Linked DNA regions of Rhinolophus ferrumequinum. The protein of the gene in region 2 interacts with the protein of the main gene of each other region in a pairwise test. Links are inferred from orthologs where the notes say so. Each region holds a gene or a part of one and is shown on either strand. Other genes may lie near its edges. The genes, in order: BRMS1, NMI and TXLNB.

Region 1 (3,750 bases), on a different chromosome or scaffold from region 2:
CAGCATCTCGTTGAGGCACTCGCTGCGGCGCCGCTCGTAGTCCTCCTCGTCCATCTCTGGGATAAGAGGCCAGTCAGGGCCAGCGGGGGAGTGGGAGGGCACCGGTGTGTGCGCGCGTATGCGTGCGCATTGCGGGTGGGGGGGGCTCACCTGAGCTCTCCTCCTCGGACTCCGTCTGGCTGCCGCTCCGCTCCTCCTCACTCTCTTCTTCCTCCCCATTCATCTCGGCAGCTGAATCACCCTCTGCTTCCATCTCTTCTGTGTCTTTGCTGGGAGGCTGGATCGGCATCTGGACCCTGGAAGGAGTGGAGCCATCACTCACCTCTGCCCACAGCTCCAAGCAGGAAAGTGGTCACTAGGAGTCACACCAAGCCTTGGACAGCGGGGGAAGGAACTGGATTTGCCACACCCCGAGCACACAGTGGGTGCGGAGGGTGCACGTGGCCGTCTGCACAGCTCCCAGAAGCCACGGAAATGCTCGTGCCCTGGGACCCTGGGGATGATCCCAATCCTGGGAATATTGGCCAAGGTGATGATCCATAAGGTGGGAAAGGCCAAGGGTGGGCTCCCCCTGCCTATGCGCCTGGGCCCAGACTTCTGACTGGGCCAGCTCCTTCACCTTGCCGTCTACTGGCCAATTCTCGAATACACCAGGCACTTGCCCCCAGGCCCCTCATGCTATTCCCTCTGCCTATAATGCCCTCCACTTCTCATCCTGAGAACACTCTACAACCTCTTGTCTTCTCTGAGTCCAGTCCCATCTCCTTCTGCTTCCTCTGCGATCTCCTATCAGCGGTGCTCCCCTCTTAGACATGCTCAGGTATGTTCCACCATTCAGGAACAACAGAAACACAAAACCTCACCCGATTCCATTGAACTGCTCCCCGTTTCCACCTCACAGCTACACTTTTCCAGGCCTGTGTACACTTGTTCTTCCTACTGTCACCTCCCGCTTGTTCCCATTTGTTTCTGTATCATCACTCTCAGCCAAAACTAATCCTATAGAATAAACCGACGACCTCCCTGTGCCTGAAGCCAGTATTTTTCAGTGCTTATCACAGCTGACATCTCAGCAACCCTGAACACTGTTAAATATTGCTTCCTTTCTTCACTCATCTCACGTCATTGGAATTCTAATTATGCTAGGTACCATCAGACACAATGGTAGGTGCTGGTCACAGTGGCGAGACAGACATACACGGTCTCTGACCTCAAGTGGTTTACAAGTTCCTGGGAGAAAAAGGCAAAGAAGCAGACCATTAGTGTGGTGTGAGAAGAGTTGAGAGCGGGCTTATGGGAGAGGAATCTAACTGGGGCCTGGAGTTGCTGCAGCTGACTTGCAGAGGAAGATGGGCACACGGATGGGCTGAGCTGGTCAAGGGAGGGAACATTCCAAATAGAGGGAGCAGCATGTGCAAAAACCCCCAAATGAAAGAAGGGGCAAGGTTGGGGGCACATGGGTCTAAGCTTGAGAGACAAGTCTGGGCTGCAGAGATCTGGTCAAGGGCATGTAGCAAGTTCTTCAGGCCCTGAGAGAAGGAGCAACCAGCAAGGCAGAAAGTGTGGAATGAGAAGACATCCATGATGGAACTCCCCGGGTCACCAAAGGGGCAGATGAGACCCCTGCAAAGGAGAAGGAAATTAGCAAGAGGTAGAGGAGGAACAACTCGATTCATGGGGAGAGAGACTTTCATAAGGAAAGAGAGGTGACAGTGCCAAATGCTGCCAAGAGATCTCCTGAGAAGACTCAATAGTCCTCTCAACAGATAACCTGTCTACTGGGGATTCTATTTCATTGTGATGTTTTTGCAACCTCTCTGGGTACTTCTATGTAGTCCTTTACATTGGAATAGAACCCCTCCCTCCAGGAAGCCTTATTTGTTTACATCTCCTCTCTATTTGCCCGTTCTCATGTCTGTGTCCTCAGCTAGTCCCTAAGCCTCACGGGGCAGGGCTGCACATGCGCCTTATTCACCTAGCGCAGTACCGACGCAAGCGATGGCGATGGGGGATTCGCAAATACAAATTAAACAAAACAAACTTTTGTGAGGCAGGCATTGGCTTTTACTTCTTGGTAGCCCCAGGCCCCTTCGGTGGTAGCAAACCCAAAGTGTTCTGTTCACCTTCCTTGACACCAGTTCGAGTTGTGCAAAATAACTGGACTAGAGCATAGTTTAGTCACATTCCTCAATGACTTCACAAATAATATGAACCTAACCTGAAACCTTCGGTTCTCCAAACCAGCCGCATCTTTCCCACTCACAAGCCTCAGTTCCCACAGTTTCCAAATTTTGCAATTCCTCTTCACTGTTAAAGATATTTACTTTCTAAGATGCAACGTAATCGGGACCAGAAAGGGCGGGGGAGAGGGGACGGGAGTCACTCCAGCTGCCTGATTCTACTGAATGAGCTCAATAAAATCACAACCTCCCCTCCTTACCCCAGGCCAAACAGAGAATGGCCATTGCTACTCTGAATGTTATTAAGACTGCAAGGGGTAAGGGATGGAGACGCAAATTTTAAGGCGCTGTACACATGCAGTTTATCTTTTCAGAAAGTGAGCATCTCGAAGGCTGGCCTCCACGGAAGGCAGATTCTTCCCCACCCTCGAAGAGGCCAACCCAGCCCCTCCGCGGCGCGCCCGGAGCCTCCCGCCCGCTCCATCCCCGTATGCGTCCGCGCGGGTAGGAGAATCTCTAGCTCTTCCGCAGGGGGTTTGGGGCCCGCGGCCCTGCACGCTCCCGGCAGGTTAAGTCTCCGCTTCGGCCCTGGAGATGGGGTGGGCTCCGATCCACCCGCCGGAGGCCGAACCAGGCGTCACAGGTGGCGTTACGCACCGCACGGATTGGAGCCTCCGGCCTCACGTCAGAGATTTCCCAACAGGTGTCCGCGGCGACCGGTGCTCACCCCCGCCGTCCGGCTCCCGGAAGCGCGGTGCCGGTCTCTCTTTACTGGGAGGTGGGGCCTATCGGTGCTTCCGTATGCGTCATCAGGGGGCGCCCTTTGGGAAGCTCACACAATTGGACAGCTGGGGACGAGGAATGCTGGGATACCGCGGACCGGTCTCCATAGCAACTAGCCGAAGTTCACACTGGCGCAGTCAGCCCTCCGGAAAAAGACCCTTGTGGTTTTCTTGCTTTGCCGCCGGTGCTCCTCTGTCCGTGGTCACCTCCCCCCACCCTCCCCCGGCGTGAAAGGGTTGAACCCGCGACCCCTCCGCCTGCTCGGTTCAGGAGAGTAACGGAGCCAGCTGTAGGTGTGAACACTCATTTATTTATTTACACATTGTCATTGGTAGGCAAATAACCCAGCCCAGCCTATTGGAGGGTACAGAACCTGCAGACCCTTTCCTTCTCCAGAGGCCCCGAGGGCAGAGGCCTGGGAGAACCAGTAAGTTTAGGCTTCTGTACAAAAGCTAAGAACTAAACTCAACGCCTTTTCTTCTCTGATTTCTTTCCAAAAAGCCCATTTTGTTAAGTACTCAGACTTCTCAGCTCTGTCCCATTCATACTTTTTGCTCTCCTACTGCCTACCCACCCAAGATTGTTAATAATAACAACAATAACAACAATAATACTGTAATAATATTAATACTTCACATTTGTACGAAGCTTACAGAATGTTTTCACATATAGCATCTCATCTGAGCCTCCCAACAGTTCTGAGAGGTAGGTATTCTCACCTCCCTTTTCACAGACGGGGTAATTGAGGCTCAGAGAGGGAACGGGATTTGCTCAAGGCCACACAGCT
Region 2 (3,750 bases):
TTCAAAATACAAAAAAACTGATTAATTTCAAAGGGGAAAAAAGTAACTTTAAAGTGGAGAAGCCAAGCAGACGCCACTATCATGAAATAATCAAAGTAAATAAGGAGATAAATCATGTGCCATCTGATAGGCTGCACTAAGAACACAGCATGACTTCTATGATATTCCTGCCAAAGATGCATAATCTGAATCTAAACATGAAGAAACATTACACAGACTGGCCTATTCTCTTCAAAAGTGTCAACTTCATAAAAGCCAAGAAAAGACTGAGAAACTGTTCTACACAGAAGGAGACTAAAGAGATCACAACTAAATGCAAGGCATGATTCTGAACTGGGTCCTTTGTTATACAGGATATGATTGGGACAACTGGCAAAATTTGAATTGAATCCAAGAATTAGATGGCAGTAATGTACCAATATTAAATCCCTGATTTTGAACACCTTTCTTGTAGGAAATATATGCTCAAGAATTCTAGGGCAATGGGTCATGAAGTTGGAAATGTATTTTCAAATAATTCACTGGGAAAAAAAGTTGCTTGTATTGTACTTGCAACTTTTCTGTAAGTTTTAGATGGTTTCAAAATAAAAAGATATATGCCTTACACATAGCTCTCTATTCTACCAACAACTGCAGAATCCTTATGATGCCATTCAGCATTCATCCAAGGTTTTACCCGGTCTAACCCAATTTAGTTTCCAGTCTTATTTAGACGATTCCTGGATTAAGTCCCTTAATCACACCGAGCCCTCAAAGGGTGGCTCTTTTCCCTCTGCCTCTCAAAATGTCACATCCTTCTTCTCCTCTTTCCTTAATTTCCATCGAATGAAATCCTAGAGTTCTTCAAGATCCATCCCAAACTTCCCCCCCAAGTTCTTGAAGCCTTTTCTGATTCCCCCAAAGGACGTTACTTCTCCTTCTTTTATCTCCCCAAAAGGAGCTTTAGTTATTTATGTACCTGTGTTATTTTCCAAGGTCACAACCTTGAGGCCAGAGACCAAGTCCACTCCTCCTTATACCCACTCAGAGCACAATACAAGTTTACACACTGAAAACACCCAAAATTTATAAAATTGTGCAGTATCTTGACTCAGGTATTCTGCTCAGGACATCCCAGGCACATGAAGTTCTCTTATTACATTTCCAGAAAGCAGAAACTGCAACATTATTTGTTTTATAAGTCAATATTCGTAAAAGCTTATAATAAAGACTCTCAATATATTTAACTCTATAAATATCCCCCAAACTTCTTATGGCATGTTTAGTATCTGGATACTTTCCCTATTTGCATGAGTGGGATGTACAGTAATAGCCTTCCTTTGATGCTGTCAGATGGGTGGCCCCTTTAAAGATGTCCACATCCTAATCCCCAGAATCTGTGAATATGTTAGGTTACACTATAAAGGAGAATTAAGGTTGTAGATTGAATTGAGGTTGCCAATCACCTGACTTTAAAATACCGAGATCATCTTGGATTATCAGTGTGGCCCAAGGAATCACTAAGGTCCTTTAAAGTGAAAGAGGAAGGCAAGAGACCCCAGTCAGAGTGAGATGTGCTAACAAAAGAATGGTCAGGGAGATGTAATCTTTAATGGCTTTGAAGATGGAGAAAGCACACCACTGAGCCAAGGAAGGTGGACAGCCTAAAGAAGCGGGGAGGGGAGAGGACCGGGAGGCAAGAAAACAGATTTCACCCCAGTCGCCTCCCAGAGGGAAAGCAGCCCTGTAGACAAGTTGATTTTAGCCGAGACTCAGGTAGGTCTTCCAACCTACAGAATTTTAAGATAATAAATGTGGTTTTTAAGCCACTAAATCCTTGGCAATTTGTTATGCCAGCGAATGAAACAAACAAAACAAAAAACAATACAAATCACCTCCACCCATCTACTACCTATTTTTCTGATATACTCATATTATTGTGGTGTCAGCATGATAGAAACGAATTTTCCCATATGCATGCCTGGCAGCAAAAAGAAGGAAACGAGGGAAAGGAAGAAGGTGGTGATTAGTAAAATGGTGATACACATTTATAGTTTTTTAAAACCTTCTGTGCGTCGTACAGACAGGGAAACACCGTCTTCTCCTTTGGATATCTCTTTCAAGACTTTCCCTGCATATTCTTCAAAGTAAGGCACGACTGCCAAACACTGCACCTGCCAAGGAGAGTAAAAATCCCTTAAGGAATCGGTTTTTCTAAGAACTATCTCTAGAGACGCTGCATGAGCAGAGGGGAAACGCAAACCATTTTAAGTTTCCGTTTCCGCAAAGAAGCAAAGCAAACTAAGAAGACTGGGGCAGAGGCCGGCCCGGCCTCGAGAAGGCACAGTGGCCGGGGGGCAGGCGCGCCCCCGCGCCGGCAGTGTCGCCGCAGCGACCCGGGCAGCGGGCAGTGCAGGGGCGCGGGGGGCGCAGAGCCCGTCCTTCCGCGCGCCATTTCCGCCCCCGTGGAACCCAGCTCCCTGCGAACCCCCGGCCTCTAGCCCCGACAACTAGGGGCAGGGATGGCGACCGGGAAACGGGGCCCCACTCACCCGCCTCGGCCCGCCGAGCGCCGCGCCCCGGGGCCCAAAGTGCCCGATCTTCCCGGAAACTTGGTGCGGCCGCGCGCGGGAGGAGCGCCGCCGAGTCGCCCGGAGCCCGGGAGCGGGGCGGGAACGTGCGGGTCCCCGAGGCTGGCGCTGCCTTATCCGGAGTGGGTGTCGCTCAGATGAACAGTTGGGTCCTTAAAAAAGAAAGAGAAAACTCAGCTCAAATGGTGATTCTCTTTAAAACCAACCATTGCTCGGAATACCAGACCTGGTGTCTCCAATGATTAATCGCTAACAAGTTACAGTTTTCACTTTCGATTTTTAAAACGTCGTTGTTTCGTTTTTGTTTTGAGGGTATCTATCCCAAAAGTATTCCTGAAGTTTCCATTAACTCTAATTTTAGGACATGCATTCAAAACCAGTCTTGTGTGTGTGTATGTTACTGGACCTACTGTTGGAAAAGTGGATTGAAACCAAGTCAAAACGGGAGTCTATTCAGATTGTATAACTCTCATTGTAATGTCTTGGTCATTATAACCTTAATCTACAAATGTTTACAGCCAGCACAAGGTCAACTTTTCTGTGTCTTTTGCAATGTCCTCTGGGCCCAGGAGTTGGGAAGCTGTGGTGTTCAGTGGGTTTCTATGACCCATGTCCCTTGAAAGTTTCTTTTAATCTTTTATTTTGTTGTGAAGCTTGTAAATAAATTCTTCACTAGGTGTGATCCTTTCCTTTGAAAATAAAACCATCTGGCTTATTTCAAGAACTGCAGTGTTTCTTAATCCTACACAAAGAACCACCCCACAGCTGCACTTGCTTATACAGGACAGGAAGTAAATGTACCAAATTAATTTCCAGGCATAAATTCTAATTTGTAGAGCTATGTAGTAACCGATATATAGTCATATATAGTAACCGATACAGTGGTCTAAAATAACTGATAAAAGTCAAATTCCTTCATATCAGTAATATTGATGGGAATCTAAAGTGGCTCTTCTAACAAAAAAATCAAGTGGTGTATGATGACTGTTGTGCTCATTAGTCCAGTTAAGTACAAAAACTCCATCTGTTGCAACTTGAGAATTACTTCTCTTCTACCTTAGAATTTCAAAGAGCATGAACTCTAGAAGTTACCTAGTTCAACCTCGTTTCTTCTTTTGTCTTATTTTTGTTTTTTATAAGAAGGATATAAGCAGCAGGACCATGACCAGAACAGGACATA
Region 3 (3,750 bases), on a different chromosome or scaffold from region 2:
GTCTTCGTCACTGGAATTCCTTTATCTTGACCTCTCCATGTTGGGTGTACTCATCTATATATAACTTATGCCTCCCCTGAACACAGAGAAAGTGGTAGGGAAAAGTTGGGGGGTAGAATATTTTAGTTTTCCCTCCCTATGCTAACAATTTACCATAAATTTAGTGGCTTAAAAACAATGTAAATTTATTACAGTGCTGGAAGTCAGAAATCAAAAATGAGTTCAGAGCTAAGCCCAGGTATCAACAGAATTATATTGCTTCTGGGGGGTCTAGAGAATAATTTGTTTCCTGCTTTTCCCAGCTTCTAAACACTTCTCTCACCCCGTGGTTTGTGGCCTCGCATTACTCTGACCTCTGCTGAGTCATCAAATCTCATTTTATCACTCTGACTGCCCCTCCCCCCACCCTCTTTCATTTATAAGGACCTTTGAGATTACATTGGGCCCATCCAGATAATTCTGGATCATCTCCCCATCTCAAAAATCCCTAACTTAATCACATCTGCAAAGTCCCCATTCACTGGATAAAGTAAGTAATACATGCACAGGTTCCTGGGGTTGGGATTTGGACTTCTTGGGGTGGCATTATGCTGCCTATCACAGGGGGTGTCACAATGCCCAGCCATTCTCCAGAGCAGAAACTCTGATGGAGGAAACTACTTTGGAAAAGTGTGGGAACACATTCTCCAGAAACAGACAGAAAAGGGGAACGAATGTAGGTGAAGAGAAGCATTTTATGGTGAATGAGGAGGAGGTTCTTTTTCTGAGGGATTAAGGAGCACGTTGAGGGTTTGGAAAGGATAGTGAAGACCTCGAAATGCGGCTGCAGAAGGTAGGAAAGCCACCAACTAAGAAAGAAAAGGTGAAGTGCCCAGGGGCTTATCTGAAATGCGGAGGTGGTTACCCAAGTCAGACCAGGAATCTGAGGTCACGCCAACTACCATGTGCCTGAAGATGATACTAGCCCACTGCCAAGACAGCCGTCTAAATTTCTAATTCAAAATTTATAAATAAACCAAACAATGACATCAGAATTAAAGTAGTTCTCCCACCTCCTTTTTGTTAGGCCATTGTTTTCCTTTTTCCATGATTCCTATAAGAAACCTGACACTAATTAGGTTAGCGTAAGAAGGGGAAAAAAGGACATGAATCATAGGCCACACTGGAAATTAACCAAGAAATAAGAAAAACCAATTCTCTGCCCAAAAGAACAACAATGGTGAAAAACTGTGCTAGCAAAAGGTCTACATACTGAGAGTTTCATTTTTTTTTTTTTTAAAGGAATCAAGATGGAGTCTGATCAGATCTACCAGCTGCTTCCCTTTTCTAAGACATTGACCCAGGAGACAGCTACTGAAGCTTGGGTGTTATTTCTCTCTGCTGTGTCATATGATGTTCCTTTCCCCTCCCCCACCTGCTCTCTTGCTGTGTGTGCGTGTGTGAGTGTGTGTGTGTGTGTGTGTATGTGTGTGTGTGTATTTGGTTTCTCTGTCCCCTTGTAAGAACACAGCCGCCTGCCTGTCTACTGCTGTTGCTGCTGTTCTGACTAACTTTTTGCTGCCCCTTGCCTCTCCTTTCTCTTTCTGCTTAGCTCCTTGCCTTCTGGTAAGTATGACAAACACTCCCCCAAGCCCTGTGAGAAGATGTGGGGTGCGGTTTGTGGTGTTCGAAATTTGCAACTTTAAGATTGCCAGCGAACTGTTGAAGAACTTTCCATTGTTTTATTTATAATTAAAATGTGTTGCTCAGGAAGGGATGTGTGTGTGATAATCTACTGGGACTGCCAGTACAAGTGATAAACTTTCTTTCAGAGGAGGGAAAAGGCAGCAATAAAATTTATGGAAGATAAAATTTAGAAATAATTTTTGCTGTATAATTAATCTAGAAAGAGATAATTTAAAAGTAACAGAGTTCTTTGACTTTGGGTTTTTTTTTCCTCTTGCTGATTTATCTTGAGGCTACTTTTAGGAATTGAGTTTTCCTGTGGTTCACAATGACTCAGTTATTCTGTTTTAAAGTAAACATGGAATATGAGTTTAAAGGCTGTCCGTGGGATTAATATAAAAACATCAATGATTATGGCCTCTGAGGAATGAAGAATAAAGCTATTACAAATAAAATGCTTGCATTTAAACTAACCATGCCAAAACTCCTATGGACAGTCAGTTTTTAAATTCATTGCTTTGAAGTTTGGTTTACTTTAGATTTTATTTCATCCTAAAAAGACTTTTTAACACTTTAAAACCCACATATGAATTTATGCCAGCAAATGTTTACTGTTTTCGATTTGTATTAAAAAGTACTCCATTCCCTTGATTTTCAAGGATAAAGTGCTAAATGCCATGGCTCCTTTTAGAAGAGCTTAAAATAGCTTCTGGCTGGAAGCAGGTGCCATGTGTCTTTCTCCAAGTTCAGGGGAGGCACTAGTTATATATATAGATGACTGTGCCCAAGAAGTAGGTAAGGGTCAGGATAAAGAAATTCCAGTGATGAAGACATGAAGCTGTTTACTGTATCATTTGATAATAAAGTTGGTGGATTACAATGAGTGAGGGGAAAAAAAAATACTCCCTTCTAAATTAATGTGTACTTGGTGAGGACCACAAGTGGGTGGCAGTGTTTGTACGTTGAATTTTCCATTCTTGTTGGCGGCCAAGCATTTGATATCTACTGCCCTGAGAACAGAAGGAGGAAGCTGTGCAGTGCACAGAGCAGCATGTTTGTGTTTTCGCTTTCCATACCTCCACAGCAGCAAAACCTGTGCATTATGAGGATCCTGTCATATTTTTGTCCTGCTAATCAGCACCATCACCACTAAATATCATTTACAAAGGAAATGAACCATAACGTAAAGGCCTAAGCCAAATCTCTTGCAACCCCAGGAATGAGGATAGCCAGAAATCCTGGAATCCTTGACTCAGCTCATTGCTCACTCCATATTTCCAAAGAACCCATATCACACCTGGATAATTTCCTTACTTCATTTCCTCCCTTTGCCTTAAACATGGCCATTTCTTTAAAATTATCAACTTATCCTAGAACTTCTTGACTGAGAAGAAAATGTTGTAATCTGTTTTTTTTTTTCCTAAAAGAATGCCAGTTTTTATACTGGAAAAAAGAAAATGTATTACAGAAATTCAAAGAATTATTATTATAAGCATCACCATGTTTCCATGCCAGTTTGTTTGTTAATTTATAACTTCCCTCATTCTCTGCCTTATTCCAAAAATGATGCTAGTGTACCTAAAAAAAAAAAGTGTTTTCATCATTAATAATTACATGTTGCTCATCTGGGAAAAGGAAAATACCAGAAAAAGCAAGAAAGCATTTCCTGTATCCAGCATAATAATTCATTTATATCAATGTACTCATATTAATCAAATCTTCATTTATAGATTAAAATAGAGTTTAGGGACATTATTATGAAGGATTTTAGTAAGTTAGTAGCTCTTGTATTAAATATTTTAACTTTGTAAAAATAACACCATTTAAAATTTAAATATTTTAAGTGTATACATCCATGTACTTTCAGTGATTATAAATCTACATAGGATTATAGAAGAAAATGGTAACACAAATTGGCTATTCTAAGCAAAATGACAGATAGGGCCATAAAAAACAATATCTTGAATTACTCTGCTAATGTCAACAATAGGAGATACTACTGGAATTTAAAGACCAAAAACAAACTATGCTAAATAGTATGACTTGATTTGGAAAAATGGCGTCCCACTGTTCCTACCTACCTAA

The links.
Region 1: the proteins of NMI (region 2) and BRMS1 interact in binary tests that used the Homo sapiens proteins (3 or more experiments, as listed by UniProt). The link is inferred for Rhinolophus ferrumequinum from reciprocal best matches to the Homo sapiens genes NMI and BRMS1.
Region 3: the proteins of NMI (region 2) and TXLNB interact in binary tests that used the Homo sapiens proteins (3 or more experiments, as listed by UniProt). The two-hybrid records come from large-scale screens. The link is inferred for Rhinolophus ferrumequinum from reciprocal best matches to the Homo sapiens genes NMI and TXLNB.

Annotation. Positions count from the first base shown.
Region 1 is NC_046294.1:5,589,842-5,593,591, reverse strand, and holds the start of BRMS1 (breast cancer metastasis-suppressor 1), read right to left. Parts: upstream 2,988-3,750; 5' UTR 2,838-2,987; intron 313-2,837; exon of another isoform or gene 297-312; 5' UTR 290-296; coding exon 151-289; intron 57-150; coding exon 1-56. UniProt on the Homo sapiens protein: Transcriptional repressor. Down-regulates transcription activation by NF-kappa-B by promoting the deacetylation of RELA at 'Lys-310'. Promotes HDAC1 binding to promoter regions.
Region 2 is NC_046291.1:69,058,784-69,062,533, reverse strand, and holds the start of NMI (N-myc-interactor), read right to left. Parts: upstream 2,840-3,750; 5' UTR 2,797-2,839; intron 2,723-2,796; 5' UTR 2,532-2,722; intron 2,154-2,531; 5' UTR 2,061-2,153; exon of another isoform or gene 2,045-2,060; intron 1-2,044. UniProt on the Homo sapiens protein: Acts as a signaling pathway regulator involved in innate immune system response.
Region 3 is NC_046286.1:84,910,503-84,914,252, reverse strand, and holds the start of TXLNB (beta-taxilin), read left to right. Parts: upstream 1-1,475; 5' UTR 1,476-1,605; intron 1,606-3,750. UniProt on the Homo sapiens protein: Promotes motor nerve regeneration. May be involved in intracellular vesicle traffic.